Linked DNA regions of Saccharomyces cerevisiae S288C. The protein of the gene in region 1 purifies or fractionates together with the protein of each later gene. This does not show direct contact. Each region holds a gene or a part of one and is shown in the gene's direction. Other genes may lie near its edges.

Region 1 (5,293 bases):
GTGCCCAGTCGTTTACATTTACGTCAAAAATAGGAACGTAACGTAAAGGAAACTCGTAATAATTTTCCCATCGTTGGATATCTTTTAGATAATTAATGTTGTTAAAATGTAAGAAAAAATGATAACGAACCTGGAAAATATAAAACTCTTTGAGCGTGGAAAAAAGTTGTAGTTGTAACTCTTTGTTTGTATTTCCCTCATTAACTATTGAATTGTTTGCCTGACTAGTGTTTATCATGCTATATGGCGATGTGGTTGCGTTATTAGGGAAGAGAACCTTAATGATATTCTTAATACGAAGGCTTGGAGGACGTAGTTGATGGTTACTCTTGGCATCATTAGGGCTCATCCATGTAAGTAAAGAGTTCAAATCATCGACTATGTTTGTGTGAAAGATGTATGAGGAAAGTGTTTGTAACTCATCTGTAATAACTTTCAAATCTCGAGTTGGGGTAATCTGAAATGACATGATGGAAAAACCTTAACTATAAGCCATAAATATTTACAGTCCCGCTAAGTCTGGCTTTCGTCTAGTTTTCGATATTTTGGCTCTTTTGTCTATTACTGTTTTTGTAACCAAAGGTTTGAAAATTTAGATGCAACTAATGAACTTACGCAGTAACATGCAAGTACCCAATAAAAAAAGAAATTTTTGAAGAGACGTTCTTGCATTCAGGACATGGTATGTTTTTAATTTCGTTTCTTTAGTTCTCAGGCTCTTCAAAGTACTAACACTTTATTGGCAAGGGGCGCTCAAATGTGATGCATCATTATAGAGTAATAATAAAATAAAAAGAAAGGATGCAAGCCCGGAACAAGAGGCAATTGAATCATTCACCTCATTAACCAAATGTGACCCCAAGGTATCCAGGAAGTACCTGCAGCGTAATCACTGGAACATCAATTACGCTCTCAATGATTATTATGACAAGGAAATAGGGACGTTTACTGACGAGGTTTCAACTGTGGCTCATCCACCCGTATACCCGAAGGAGCTAACACAGGTATTTGAACACTATATCAATAACAACTTGTTTGATATAGACTCACTGGTCAAGTTCATTGAGGAGCTAGGCTACAATCTTGAAGATTTAGCGACATTATGCTTAGCCCATTTACTGGGGTACAAGAAACTAGAAGAACCCTTAAAACGAGAGGACTTCCTGTCAACATGGTTTATGCAAGGCTGTTCCACCATTTCAGACATGCAAGAGTGCATCAAGACGTTAGATGTTAAATTACATGAAGACTTACAATATTTCACACAGATTTATAACTATGCTTTCAATTTGATTCTGGACCCAAATCGAAAGGATATAGATACAGACGAAGGCATCCAGTATTGGAAGCTATTTTTCCAACCAGAGTACCCAGTGCGTATGGAACCAGATTTGCTTGAGGCATGGTTCCGTTTCCTTCGCGATGAGGGGAAAACCACTATAAGTAAAGACACCTGGCGTATGCTGCTCCTCTTTTTCAAACGATACCCCACTATTCAGAAAATAATAAGCGATTACGACGAAACTGCAGCCTGGCCATTTATTATCGATGAGTTCTATGAGTGCTTACAGGATCAGCAATAAACATCCTTTCATATACTTAAGGGTATGCTGTTTAATATTGCATGGAATACGTTACCCTTCTAAGATAGATGGGAATAAGGCGGAAATAAAAAACGCGATGAGCAGTGGAAAATTTTTCAGAAATTTTCAGTTCCCTCATAATATAGATGTAGATATTGTATAAGGTCGTACGTATATCAGAGTAGCCACTAGAAGGACCAGAGAAACTGGAATAAGAGCTATTATGGTCAAATCATACCAACGTTTTGAGCAAGCAGCTGCTTTTGGTGTAATAGCCTCCAATGCCAATTGTGTTTGGATACCTGCGTCATCCGGAAATAGTAATGGTAGTGGACCAGGACAATTGATTACGAGTGCTCTCGAGGACGTTAATATATGGGATATTAAGACCGGGGATTTGGTCAGTAAATTATCCGATGGCTTACCTCCAGGCGCATCTGATGCTAGAGGCGCCAAGCCAGCCGAGTGTACATATTTGGAGGCTCATAAAGATACGGATTTATTAGCTGTCGGTTACGCAGATGGTGTCATTAAAGTTTGGGATTTGATGTCTAAGACTGTGCTTTTGAATTTTAACGGTCACAAAGCAGCTATAACATTATTACAATTTGATGGGACTGGCACAAGATTAATTTCTGGTTCCAAGGACTCCAATATCATTGTATGGGATCTTGTTGGAGAAGTTGGTCTTTATAAACTTAGATCACACAAGGATTCCATTACTGGCTTTTGGTGTCAAGGAGAAGATTGGCTGATCAGCACCTCCAAAGATGGAATGATCAAGCTATGGGACCTAAAAACACATCAATGTATAGAGACACATATTGCGCATACTGGAGAGTGTTGGGGCCTTGCAGTGAAGGATGATTTACTGATCACAACTGGTACTGATAGTCAAGTAAAAATTTGGAAACTGGATATAGAAAATGACAAAATGGGGGGGAAACTAACAGAGATGGGTATTTTCGAAAAGCAAAGTAAGCAACGTGGGTTAAAGATTGAGTTCATAACAAATTCGTCTGACAAAACCTCTTTTTTTTACATCCAAAATGCTGATAAAACCATCGAGACTTTCAGAATTAGAAAAGAAGAAGAAATAGCAAGAGGTTTAAAGAAAAGAGAGAAGAGGCTAAAAGAAAAGGGGTTGACAGAAGAAGAAATTGCAAAATCTATTAAAGAATCCTACTCCTCCTTTATATTGCATCCTTTTCAAACCATAAGATCATTGTATAAAATAAAATCTGCATCATGGACAACGGTCTCAAGTTCCAAACTTGAGTTGGTATTAACTACATCGAGTAATACCATAGAGTATTATTCCATTCCATATGAAAAAAGAGACCCAACAAGCCCTGCTCCTCTCAAGACACATACTATTGAATTGCAAGGGCAAAGAACGGATGTGCGTAGTATTGACATCAGTGATGATAACAAATTACTTGCCACAGCATCCAATGGTTCATTGAAAATATGGAATATCAAAACACATAAATGTATCAGAACTTTCGAATGTGGGTATGCATTAACTTGTAAGTTTTTGCCAGGTGGGCTACTAGTCATACTGGGTACAAGAAACGGGGAGTTACAGCTCTTTGATCTAGCATCATCAAGTCTTTTGGATACCATTGAAGATGCACATGATGCGGCAATTTGGTCGCTAGATCTGACCTCAGATGGTAAACGATTAGTGACCGGATCTGCCGATAAAACTGTCAAGTTTTGGGATTTCAAAGTTGAAAATAGCCTAGTGCCAGGTACCAAGAACAAATTCCTGCCTGTTTTAAAACTGCACCATGATACAACTTTGGAATTAACTGACGACATTTTATGTGTACGGGTTTCTCCTGACGATAGATATCTAGCCATCTCGTTGCTGGATAATACTGTTAAGGTATTCTTTTTGGACTCAATGAAGTTTTACCTAAGTTTATATGGGCACAAATTACCTGTACTATCTATCGATATTTCATTTGATTCTAAGATGATTATTACGTCTTCCGCAGACAAAAATATCAAGATTTGGGGTTTAGATTTTGGTGACTGTCACAAGTCTTTATTTGCCCATCAGGATTCGATTATGAACGTTAAATTCTTACCACAGTCTCACAACTTCTTTAGTTGTTCTAAAGACGCAGTGGTGAAATATTGGGATGGCGAGAAATTTGAATGCATTCAAAAACTATACGCTCATCAGAGCGAAGTTTGGGCTTTGGCGGTTGCTACTGATGGCGGCTTTGTTGTTTCTTCATCCCATGATCACAGTATAAGAATCTGGGAAGAAACCGAGGACCAGGTATTTTTAGAAGAGGAAAAGGAGAAAGAACTTGAAGAACAGTACGAGGATACATTGCTAACTTCTTTGGAAGAAGGAAACGGTGATGATGCATTTAAAGCTGATGCATCGGGTGAAGGCGTTGAAGATGAAGCATCCGGTGTTCATAAACAGACTTTAGAATCGTTAAAGGCTGGTGAAAGACTTATGGAGGCGCTAGATTTAGGAATTGCTGAGATTGAAGGTTTAGAGGCATATAACAGAGATATGAAGCTATGGCAAAGAAAGAAGTTGGGTGAAGCGCCAATAAAACCACAGGGTAACGCTGTTCTAATTGCTGTGAATAAAACTCCTGAGCAATATATTATGGATACCCTGTTAAGAATAAGAATGTCTCAGTTAGAAGATGCACTGATGGTTATGCCATTCTCATATGTCCTCAAATTTTTAAAATTTATTGATACCGTTATGCAAAACAAAACTTTGCTGCACTCTCACTTACCATTAATTTGCAAGAATTTATTTTTCATTATCAAATTTAATCATAAAGAATTGGTTTCTCAGAAAAATGAAGAATTGAAATTGCAAATAAATAGAGTAAAGACTGAATTAAGAAGTGCATTAAAATCTACCGAGGATGATCTAGGCTTTAATGTTCAAGGGTTGAAATTCGTCAAGCAACAATGGAATCTAAGGCATAACTACGAATTCGTTGACGAATATGACCAACAGGAGAAAGAGAGTAATAGTGCAAGGAAGAGAGTTTTCGGGACCGTTATATAATAAAACTATTATCCTACATAATACCGGCATTACTCTGCCCTTTTCACACTTCAAAAGGATAGATTAAATTATCTGTATATTATACAATTCCAATCATAAAAATTGTCATTCCGATTGCCCTTCGGTAATAATGGGCATATCCAAATAACGGAATATGTGTTTTTTATACTTATTGGTCGCTGACATATGCTGTTTTTTGCGAGATGTCTCTCGTCTCTGCAGAGCAGTTGTAAAATTATAGGTCATGCATTTTTTTTTTTTTGATAATGAATAACTATCTAATCTAACAAAATATACGTGAGATACTATGCCCATTTCCCTAGAAGAGCCATTAAAGCAGCTCCACAACACATGATGAGATATGCACTAAGCATTTTTTTGAGGCCATCAGGTCCTTTGAATTGATTAGAGTATAAGAATTCATGAGCCATTAATTCGACTAGTCCAGTATAAATAAGAATTCCTGATGATATCGAGTCAAAAACACCATTAGCAATTAATGCTCTTCTAGAGCCAGGTATCCAAGAGTGTCTGACACCAATACCTACCGCGACTGCTATGGGTGACGTTAAAGTGAAGGCTAATCCCATTAACCAAGGCATGTACTTCTTACTTTCTGGCCAATTCGTTTCGGCAACTCTTGTGCCTAGACCCA
Region 2 (4,322 bases), on another chromosome or scaffold:
AATCTGACAAGTCGCACTCTCATGGGTTGTTCTTCAATGATTTCAACCTCTTTTTGAAGTGGAGGTCGCACATGAATAGACTACAAAAACAAAGAATCAAGACTAGGAGCACTGCCGTAGAGCCTCTGGCTAGAACTCCAGAAGACCTCATGTTGAATTGGGACGACTTGCATCTGGGCAACGATGCTGAATATGCTTCTGCAGATGGATCCAAGAAAATTGTTGGAAGGGCACAGTCCATTAGTACCACGAAGGATTCCAATGATGCAAAACCCAGCACCGTCAAAACTGAAAAAATCTACTTTGACGATGGCACGGTAGACATTACTACCACCACTACCTCCAAGGGTTCCAGTCCCCAGGTGAAGCATAAAGTGGTGAGTGTTGACGAAGACAATTAGGACATATTTTCGTTTCCTTTTTTTACTCATATCTTACACAATATGCCTTGTATATATCGCACGATTATGACCTTGCGCGTGTGGAAAACATGCGACTGCTAAGGGGAGATCCACACACACACACACAAAAGATCAATACACATTTTTGACAATATATAGCATCAATAAAATACATATAAGCGATTCACATAGTTCAATATGAAGGTTGTTAAGGAATTTAGTGTCTGTGGTGGCAGATTGATCAAGTTGTCACATAACTCGAACTCTACCAAGACCAGCATGAACGTCAATATCTATTTGCCTAAGCACTATTACGCCCAAGATTTTCCAAGAAATAAGCGTATCCCAACTGTGTTTTACCTTTCTGGCTTGACGTGCACGCCAGACAACGCCTCTGAGAAGGCTTTTTGGCAGTTTCAAGCTGACAAGTACGGATTTGCAATAGTCTTTCCGGATACGTCCCCACGTGGTGACGAAGTAGCCAATGATCCTGAGGGCTCCTGGGATTTTGGACAGGGCGCCGGATTCTATCTAAATGCCACCCAAGAACCATACGCCCAACATTACCAGATGTACGACTACATTCACAAAGAACTCCCACAAACATTAGATTCTCATTTTAACAAGAACGGTGACGTAAAGCTGGACTTCTTGGACAATGTTGCCATCACAGGCCATTCGATGGGGGGATATGGTGCAATTTGTGGGTATTTGAAGGGCTATTCCGGAAAGAGATACAAATCTTGTTCTGCCTTCGCCCCTATCGTGAACCCTTCCAACGTTCCCTGGGGTCAAAAAGCGTTTAAAGGTTATCTGGGCGAAGAAAAAGCCCAGTGGGAAGCGTACGACCCATGTTTATTAATCAAGAATATTAGACATGTGGGCGACGACAGAATTTTGATCCATGTAGGAGACTCCGATCCCTTTTTGGAAGAACACTTGAAACCGGAATTACTACTTGAGGCGGTGAAAGCCACTTCATGGCAGGACTACGTGGAAATAAAAAAAGTTCACGGCTTTGATCACTCCTATTACTTTGTCAGCACTTTCGTTCCAGAACATGCTGAATTTCATGCGCGAAACTTGGGTTTGATTTGAGAGGCATCGCATTTCATTATGGTAATTTTTATGACTTTTCTATGTACATATTTAGTGAAATATACGTCCGTAGAAAAAAATGGCCAAACATAGTTATCCTTTCAAAGGTTATTCGCAGTAGATTTTATGTCACCTGTAACTTCCATTACTATTGCTATTATGTGGTTAATTGGCATCACATCCGACGAATTTAATAATATGAAATGAAAAAAACGAAAAATAAAAAAATTTCACCTCATCTCATCGATCACTCTGGTCCTGTTGTGGTATCGTTCTTGAAAGTGTATATCAGCCTACATTAGTGCGACAATGACAATGGCAACAACCGCAATGAATGTTAGCGTACCTCCACCAGATGAAGAAGAACAGTTACTAGCCAAATTTGTATTCGGTGATACAACAGATTTACAAGAAAATCTCGCTAAATTTAATGCCGATTTCATTTTCAATGAACAAGAAATGGATGTTGAAGACCAGGAGGATGAGGGATCTGAATCAGATAACAGTGAAGAAGATGAAGCGCAGAACGGTGAATTAGACCATGTTAACAACGATCAGTTATTTTTTGTGGACGATGGTGGTAACGAAGATAGTCAAGATAAGAATGAAGATACCATGGACGTGGATGACGAAGATGACTCTTCAAGCGATGATTATTCTGAGGACTCTGAAGAAGCTGCTTGGATAGATTCGGATGATGAAAAAATTAAAGTGCCTATTCTTGTTACCAATAAGACAAAGAAATTAAGAACCTCCTATAACGAGTCCAAAATCAACGGTGTTCATTACATCAACAGATTGAGATCTCAGTTTGAAAAGATATATCCAAGGCCCAAATGGGTGGACGATGAATCTGATTCTGAATTAGATGACGAAGAAGACGATGAAGAAGAAGGCTCTAATAATGTTATTAATGGAGATATTAATGCTCTAACGAAGATCCTGTCTACTACTTACAATTATAAAGACACTTTATCGAATTCCAAACTATTACCCCCTAAGAAACTTGACATTGTGCGTCTTAAAGATGCAAATGCATCACACCCGTCTCATTCCGCCATACAATCTCTTTCATTCCATCCTTCTAAGCCTCTACTGTTAACGGGTGGGTATGATAAGACCTTAAGAATATATCATATTGACGGGAAAACGAACCATCTAGTGACAAGTTTGCACCTGGTTGGGTCTCCAATACAAACATGTACTTTCTATACTTCTCTATCAAACCAAAATCAACAAAATATATTCACCGCCGGTAGAAGAAGATATATGCATTCCTGGGACTTATCCTTAGAAAATTTAACTCATTCACAGACTGCCAAAATCGAAAAATTTTCCAGATTGTATGGACATGAGTCCACTCAAAGATCATTTGAGAATTTCAAAGTTGCACATTTGCAGAATTCACAAACAAATTCTGTCCATGGAATTGTCCTTTTACAGGGTAATAATGGTTGGATTAACATTTTACATTCCACTTCCGGACTATGGTTAATGGGCTGCAAGATAGAAGGTGTGATAACGGATTTCTGTATCGATTATCAACCTATTTCACGTGGTAAGTTTAGGACCATTTTAATTGCTGTAAACGCGTATGGTGAAGTGTGGGAATTTGACTTGAATAAGAATGGCCATGTTATAAGAAGATGGAAAGACCAAGGTGGCGTGGGTATAACAAAAATCCAAGTTGGTGGTGGGACAACAACTACTTGTCCGGCTCTTCAAATAAGTAAGATAAAGCAAAATAGGTGGCTTGCGGTAGGTAGTGAGAGTGGATTTGTTAATCTTTACGATAGAAATAATGCTATGACCTCGTCGACCCCTACACCTGTCGCCGCCTTGGACCAGCTAACAACTACCATTTCTAATCTACAATTTTCCCCTGATGGTCAAATACTGTGCATGGCATCCCGTGCAGTCAAGGATGCTTTGAGACTAGTTCATCTGCCTTCTTGTAGCGTGTTCAGCAACTGGCCTACCAGCGGGACGCCTTTGGGTAAAGTTACCAGTGTCGCATTTTCGCCATCTGGTGGGCTACTGGCCGTGGGTAACGAACAAGGTAAAGTGAGGCTCTGGAAATTAAACCACTACTAAATTTCCATTTATAGACAAACTTAGATATTAAAAGCAATGTACAAATACATACACAAAATATCACTGTAAAAAAATTGCGAAGAAACTTGAAATTGAATATGATTCTGCCCACTTTTTTCTTGCTGTCATTTATAGTCAGAAATGAAAAATTGTCCGAGAAATTAAATATAATATATGGAAAAAAAGGGGACATTGAGTTTAAAGAATTTGATTAAAATGTCCTCTCAATATCCTCTGTAAGAGTTATCTAAATCTCACTTTACTTATTCATCTCGCTGGGAATTATGCAGGCGGTAGAGAGAAGGCCCTCGTTACTCTTTGACGAATATCAAAATTCTGTTACTAAGCCTAATGAGACGAAGAATAAAGAAGCCAGGGTCTTGTCAGAGAATGACGGTGATGTCTCCCCATCTGTTTTGAAACAGAAGGAAATATCAGTCGATGATATGGATATGATTTCTTTGCCCACGGAATTTGACAGGCAAATGGTTTTAGGTTCACCTATGTTTTTCGATCTTGAAGACGAAGAAAACAAAATTGATCCACTTCCTTCAGTTTCCCATCATTATGGAAATGGAGAAAGTGACAGCTTTGTCTCATCGTACACGCCCTCAAATCTGAAAACGGGTGAAGAAACTAAAGATCTTTTCATTAATCCGTTTGAATTGGTTTCTCAAATGAGAAAAAGATACATTGCTGCTTCCAAACAAGATGGCATTTCAAACATAA
Region 3 (5,903 bases), on another chromosome or scaffold:
TCACATTATCGTAAATGTGGTCAAATGAGACTGAAATCTCGTCGTCAATTGCTTTTATTTTAGATAGTGACGTTTCCGACGTTTCCGACGTTTCCGACGTTTCCTTCCAGTCAGCAGGTTCAACATCGCTCTCTGGTGGTATAGTAAGAGGAGTGTAAAGCTCGGAAGAAGATGAGTTCATTCTATCCGGCAAATAATCAATCATATTAGGAGAGCATTTAGGGTTTACATCATATCTTTCTATATATTCTTGTTTCACCCTCCATGGTGCGTGCTCCTTATTCGATACTTTTATGAGTATTTCATTAAGAAAACACGCAATTATGAATTTAGAAAAGTGTGATTCTGGCCTTTTAATTTCATTCTGGCCTACAATTAGGGCCGCACCTTTAGATTCTCGATTCAGGCATTCTGTGATTAAATACAGTGACAATTTTGGGGCAGAAATTTCTCCCTTTTCACTTTCCATCATCCCGTTAGATTGAAACACATCCTTGACAAGGAACAACGTGACATTGTTTTCAATAGTTGGTGATTCTACCAAGTTAGGCTCTCCTTCTTTATAGGTAATCAATGCATTTTTTTGGATAGTTTTCAAGCACACCGTATCGCCTATAAAGAAACGGTTACTAAAACGCTGAAATGCGCTTTCTACAAGGTGTCCTACCTTCCTTATCGGACTGAAGTTTGCGAAATTTGCTATAGCCTTCCTTAGTTCTTTTGGTAAAAGATATCTGACCTTTTCACGGTGCTGTTCTTCGCTTTTTAACGCCTTGAAATACGAAAGGCCATCTTTTCCACTAATCTCACAGGTGAATATATCCCTTTTGTAAAAATCTAGCTTTTTTAAATCACTGTCATAATCATTTATACGCTCGCTACTTTCTTTAATCACCCATGGAGTTTCAGAGAAGGAATCAGCAGACTGTCCTATTTCCTTAGGTTGTATTTTCCTTCTGTTAAGCAGAACCATTTTTGCTTTGAATTTAAAGTACGGCTAGAAGAAGAGCCAAACTAGGGATTGCGATTTTTACTGAATGAAAATGATTGTCTCTCTTACTAAGTCTGCTAACATTTATCAGGTTCATAATGTTTACTATTGAAGTGGCGCGTTACAAGAAAACAAGTCATCCCATATTGAAATGACAACAAATAGAAAAATACACATAATTCCATATCGCTAAATCACACTATCATATACAAAATGGACCAAAGTAAACAAATGTCGATTCATGCAAGTATTGTTACATATCTTGTCACTTTCTCTTCCAAAAGTTGAGGATAGCTGTAAAGGTGCATTTGCTAAACTCTCAGAAACTGCTGGTCCTAAACAATATCAAAACAAATATCAGATAGGTAAGCTTAGATTATTTTAAGGACATGTGAGCCATAGTGCAGATACTCGTACTACTGTTGTAAATATTTCTGTAATTTCAAAGTTGAGATTATCTAGATGAAGTTTTTTTTTTGTTATCGCCTAAGTTTAATGTCCGTACAAATGAAAAATTTTCAAGGCGATGAGCTGAAGTGAAGCTTCAAAATTAAGGAAAGTATTTGCGCTGTTAAGGTAAAAATATCACATAATAGTAGCCTTTAATCAGCCATCTGAGTTATCTGAAACGATGGAGCAGTCTAATAAACAGCACCGTAAGGCGAAGGAGAAGAATACAGCAAAAAAGAAGCTCCATACGCAGGGTCATAATGCAAAGGCCTTTGCCGTGGCAGCCCCAGGTAAGATGGCGAGAACTATGCAAAGGTCAAGTGATGTGAACGAAAGAAAACTGCATGTTCCTATGGTTGATCGTACCCCTGAAGATGATCCGCCTCCATTTATCGTCGCTGTCGTGGGTCCACCTGGAACAGGAAAGACTACTTTGATTCGGTCCCTCGTCAGGAGAATGACAAAAAGCACTTTGAATGATATTCAAGGTCCTATTACTGTTGTCTCTGGTAAACATAGAAGACTAACTTTTTTGGAGTGCCCTGCGGACGATCTGAATGCGATGATTGATATTGCTAAGATTGCCGACTTGGTTCTTTTACTAATTGACGGTAATTTCGGTTTTGAAATGGAAACAATGGAATTCTTAAATATTGCTCAACATCACGGTATGCCAAGAGTACTTGGTGTAGCTACACATCTTGATCTGTTTAAATCTCAGTCAACTTTGAGAGCTTCTAAGAAAAGATTAAAGCACAGATTCTGGACGGAAGTTTATCAAGGTGCAAAATTATTTTACCTATCTGGTGTGATTAATGGAAGGTATCCTGATAGAGAGATTTTAAACCTTTCACGATTTATATCTGTTATGAAATTCAGACCATTAAAATGGAGGAACGAACATCCCTATATGTTGGCTGACAGATTCACAGATTTAACTCATCCGGAATTAATAGAGACTCAAGGACTGCAAATCGACCGCAAAGTCGCTATCTATGGTTATTTGCACGGTACTCCTTTGCCTTCTGCTCCGGGCACTAGGGTGCATATTGCTGGTGTTGGTGATTTCTCAGTAGCACAAATTGAAAAATTACCAGATCCATGTCCCACACCTTTTTACCAACAGAAACTGGATGATTTTGAACGTGAAAAAATGAAAGAAGAGGCAAAGGCTAACGGAGAAATTACAACTGCCTCTACGACAAGAAGACGTAAAAGGTTAGATGATAAAGATAAATTGATATATGCTCCAATGTCCGATGTCGGAGGTGTGTTGATGGATAAGGATGCTGTTTATATTGATATTGGAAAGAAAAATGAAGAGCCAAGTTTTGTTCCCGGCCAAGAAAGAGGTGAAGGAGAAAAACTCATGACGGGTTTACAAAGTGTTGAACAAAGTATTGCAGAGAAATTTGATGGTGTGGGTTTGCAATTGTTTAGCAACGGCACTGAGCTTCATGAAGTTGCCGATCATGAAGGCATGGATGTTGAAAGTGGAGAAGAAAGTATTGAGGACGATGAAGGAAAGAGCAAGGGAAGAACCAGTTTAAGAAAACCAAGAATTTATGGTAAGCCAGTTCAAGAAGAAGACGCAGATATTGATAATTTACCGAGTGATGAAGAACCTTATACAAATGATGACGACGTGCAGGACTCCGAACCAAGGATGGTTGAAATCGATTTCAATAATACCGGTGAGCAGGGTGCCGAAAAATTAGCTTTGGAAACAGATTCTGAATTTGAAGAGAGTGAAGATGAGTTTTCCTGGGAAAGAACAGCGGCAAACAAGCTGAAGAAAACTGAAAGTAAGAAAAGGACCTGGAATATCGGTAAGCTGATATACATGGACAACATTTCACCTGAAGAATGTATAAGAAGGTGGAGGGGCGAGGACGACGATAGTAAAGACGAAAGTGACATTGAAGAAGATGTTGATGATGACTTCTTCAGGAAAAAAGATGGTACTGTTACAAAAGAGGGCAATAAAGACCATGCAGTTGATTTGGAAAAGTTTGTTCCATATTTCGACACTTTCGAAAAATTGGCTAAAAAATGGAAAAGCGTTGATGCAATCAAAGAGCGATTCCTCGGCGCAGGCATTTTAGGTAATGATAATAAAACGAAAAGTGACTCTAATGAAGGTGGGGAAGAACTATACGGCGATTTTGAAGATCTAGAAGATGGAAACCCTTCTGAACAAGCAGAAGACAATAGTGACAAAGAAAGTGAGGATGAGGATGAAAACGAAGACACTAATGGAGATGATGATAATTCATTCACTAATTTTGATGCGGAGGAAAAAAAGGACTTAACCATGGAGCAAGAAAGAGAAATGAATGCTGCAAAGAAGGAAAAACTACGTGCACAATTCGAGATAGAAGAAGGTGAAAACTTTAAAGAAGATGATGAAAACAATGAATATGATACATGGTATGAACTACAGAAGGCCAAGATATCTAAACAGTTAGAAATTAACAATATAGAATATCAAGAAATGACTCCAGAACAACGTCAAAGAATCGAAGGTTTCAAAGCTGGTTCTTATGTACGTATCGTTTTCGAAAAAGTCCCAATGGAATTTGTCAAGAATTTCAATCCAAAATTTCCAATTGTTATGGGTGGTTTATTGCCGACCGAAATAAAGTTCGGTATTGTCAAAGCCAGGTTGAGAAGACATCGTTGGCATAAGAAGATTTTGAAGACAAATGACCCACTGGTCTTGTCTTTGGGTTGGAGAAGGTTCCAAACTTTACCAATTTATACAACAACTGACTCTAGAACAAGAACCAGAATGCTAAAGTATACACCAGAACACACATATTGTAATGCGGCTTTCTACGGTCCCTTATGTTCTCCAAACACACCTTTTTGTGGTGTTCAAATTGTTGCTAATAGTGATACCGGGAACGGTTTTAGAATTGCAGCAACAGGTATCGTTGAAGAGATAGACGTTAATATTGAAATTGTTAAAAAGTTAAAATTAGTTGGGTTTCCATATAAAATTTTCAAAAATACTGCCTTTATAAAGGACATGTTTTCAAGTGCTATGGAAGTTGCAAGGTTTGAGGGTGCGCAGATCAAAACTGTCTCGGGTATCCGTGGTGAAATCAAAAGGGCACTTTCAAAGCCTGAGGGTCACTATAGGGCAGCCTTTGAGGATAAAATCCTAATGAGTGATATTGTAATTCTAAGATCATGGTATCCTGTCCGCGTCAAGAAATTCTATAATCCTGTTACCTCACTATTGTTGAAGGAAAAAACCGAGTGGAAAGGTTTAAGATTGACAGGCCAAATAAGAGCGGCTATGAACCTGGAAACACCGTCGAATCCGGACAGTGCATATCATAAAATAGAACGTGTAGAAAGACACTTCAATGGTCTAAAGGTCCCAAAAGCTGTTCAAAAGGAATTGCCATTCAAATCTCAGATCCATCAAATGAAACCACAAAAGAAGAAAACATATATGGCTAAAAGAGCCGTGGTGCTAGGTGGTGATGAAAAGAAGGCAAGATCATTCATTCAAAAAGTATTGACGATTTCGAAAGCCAAAGACAGCAAGAGGAAGGAACAGAAGGCTAGTCAACGTAAGGAAAGATTGAAAAAATTAGCTAAGATGGAGGAAGAAAAATCACAAAGGGATAAGGAGAAAAAGAAAGAATACTTCGCCCAGAATGGTAAAAGAACAACTATGGGCGGTGACGATGAATCTCGTCCACGTAAGATGAGGAGGTAAACTTTCATGTATATATATATATATACATATATATATGTATACTTAAGATGTATCATACTTTTATTCAATCTTAGAGTCTAAAATATACTATGATCGCGGAAATGCTGTGCTCAAAAGTTATGAGGTGGCATCCTATGCAATTTTGTTGATTATTACAAAGCTGTTGAATTCATGTGAATGTCATATAAAGGGTATAGATGTATACGTCAATTAAATATATTGAGATAACCATTGGAACGCCTCTAAATAACCATTTCTCATAACAACGGAACACATGAAAACTTCAACTGGTCTTTGACCTTCAATTCTTTGAGAGCCAGTGGTATTCAATAATCCTAAAGCAGAACGTAGCTCCGCTTCAGAAACGGCGTTTGGAGCATCGATCTTGTTACCAAGAATTACAAAAGGAACGTCCTTCAATTCGGCAATGTTGAATAAAGCATCTAATTCGACACGTGCTTCATCAAATCTTTCAGGGTCAGCAGCATCGACTAAAAAGACGATACCATTAACTTCTGGGAAATAATCCTTCCATAAACGACGAGCTTGAATATGACCACCCAAATCGAAAGTTGTAAACTTAATGTTACCAATAGCCAGTTCTTCAGAAGTTGGATGCCATGTTGGTTGTAAGGTTGCCAATCTATCGTTCTTTAACATATGTAGCAATGTGGTCTTACCGGCATTATCCAAACCCAAGAAAAGTAGTTTACCATGTTTGTTCCACAG

The links.
Region 2: the proteins of DIP2 (region 1) and UTP18 purify together in Saccharomyces cerevisiae (affinity purification with mass spectrometry; 8 studies listed by BioGRID). This does not show direct contact.
Region 3: the proteins of DIP2 (region 1) and BMS1 purify together in Saccharomyces cerevisiae (affinity purification with mass spectrometry; 2 studies listed by BioGRID). This does not show direct contact.

Annotation. Positions count from the first base shown.
Region 1 is NC_001144.5:397,851-403,143, forward strand, and holds DIP2 (snoRNA-binding rRNA-processing protein DIP2), read left to right. Parts: upstream 1-1,806; coding exon 1,807-4,638; downstream 4,639-5,293. Other genes in the region: APC2 (anaphase promoting complex subunit 2), read right to left, coding at 1-469; NEDD8 ligase DCN1, read left to right, coding at 680-682, 777-1,583; low-affinity Zn(2+) transporter ZRT2, read right to left, coding at 4,944-5,293. UniProt on the Saccharomyces cerevisiae protein: Involved in nucleolar processing of pre-18S ribosomal RNA.
Region 2 is NC_001142.9:310,193-314,514, reverse strand, and holds UTP18 (Utp18p), read left to right. Parts: upstream 1-1,808; coding exon 1,809-3,593; downstream 3,594-4,322. Other genes in the region: MPM1 (Mpm1p), read left to right, coding at 1-401; YJL068C (S-formylglutathione hydrolase), read left to right, coding at 600-1,499; YJL070C (metallo-dependent hydrolase superfamily protein), read left to right, coding at 3,878-4,322. UniProt on the Saccharomyces cerevisiae protein: Involved in nucleolar processing of pre-18S ribosomal RNA and ribosome assembly.
Region 3 is NC_001148.4:138,891-144,793, reverse strand, and holds BMS1 (GTPase BMS1), read left to right. Parts: upstream 1-1,622; coding exon 1,623-5,174; downstream 5,175-5,903. Other genes in the region: YPL216W (uncharacterized protein), read right to left, coding at 1-973; Arf family GTPase SAR1, read right to left, coding at 5,385-5,903. UniProt on the Saccharomyces cerevisiae protein: GTPase required for synthesis of 40S ribosomal subunits and for processing the 35S pre-rRNA at sites A0, A1, and A2.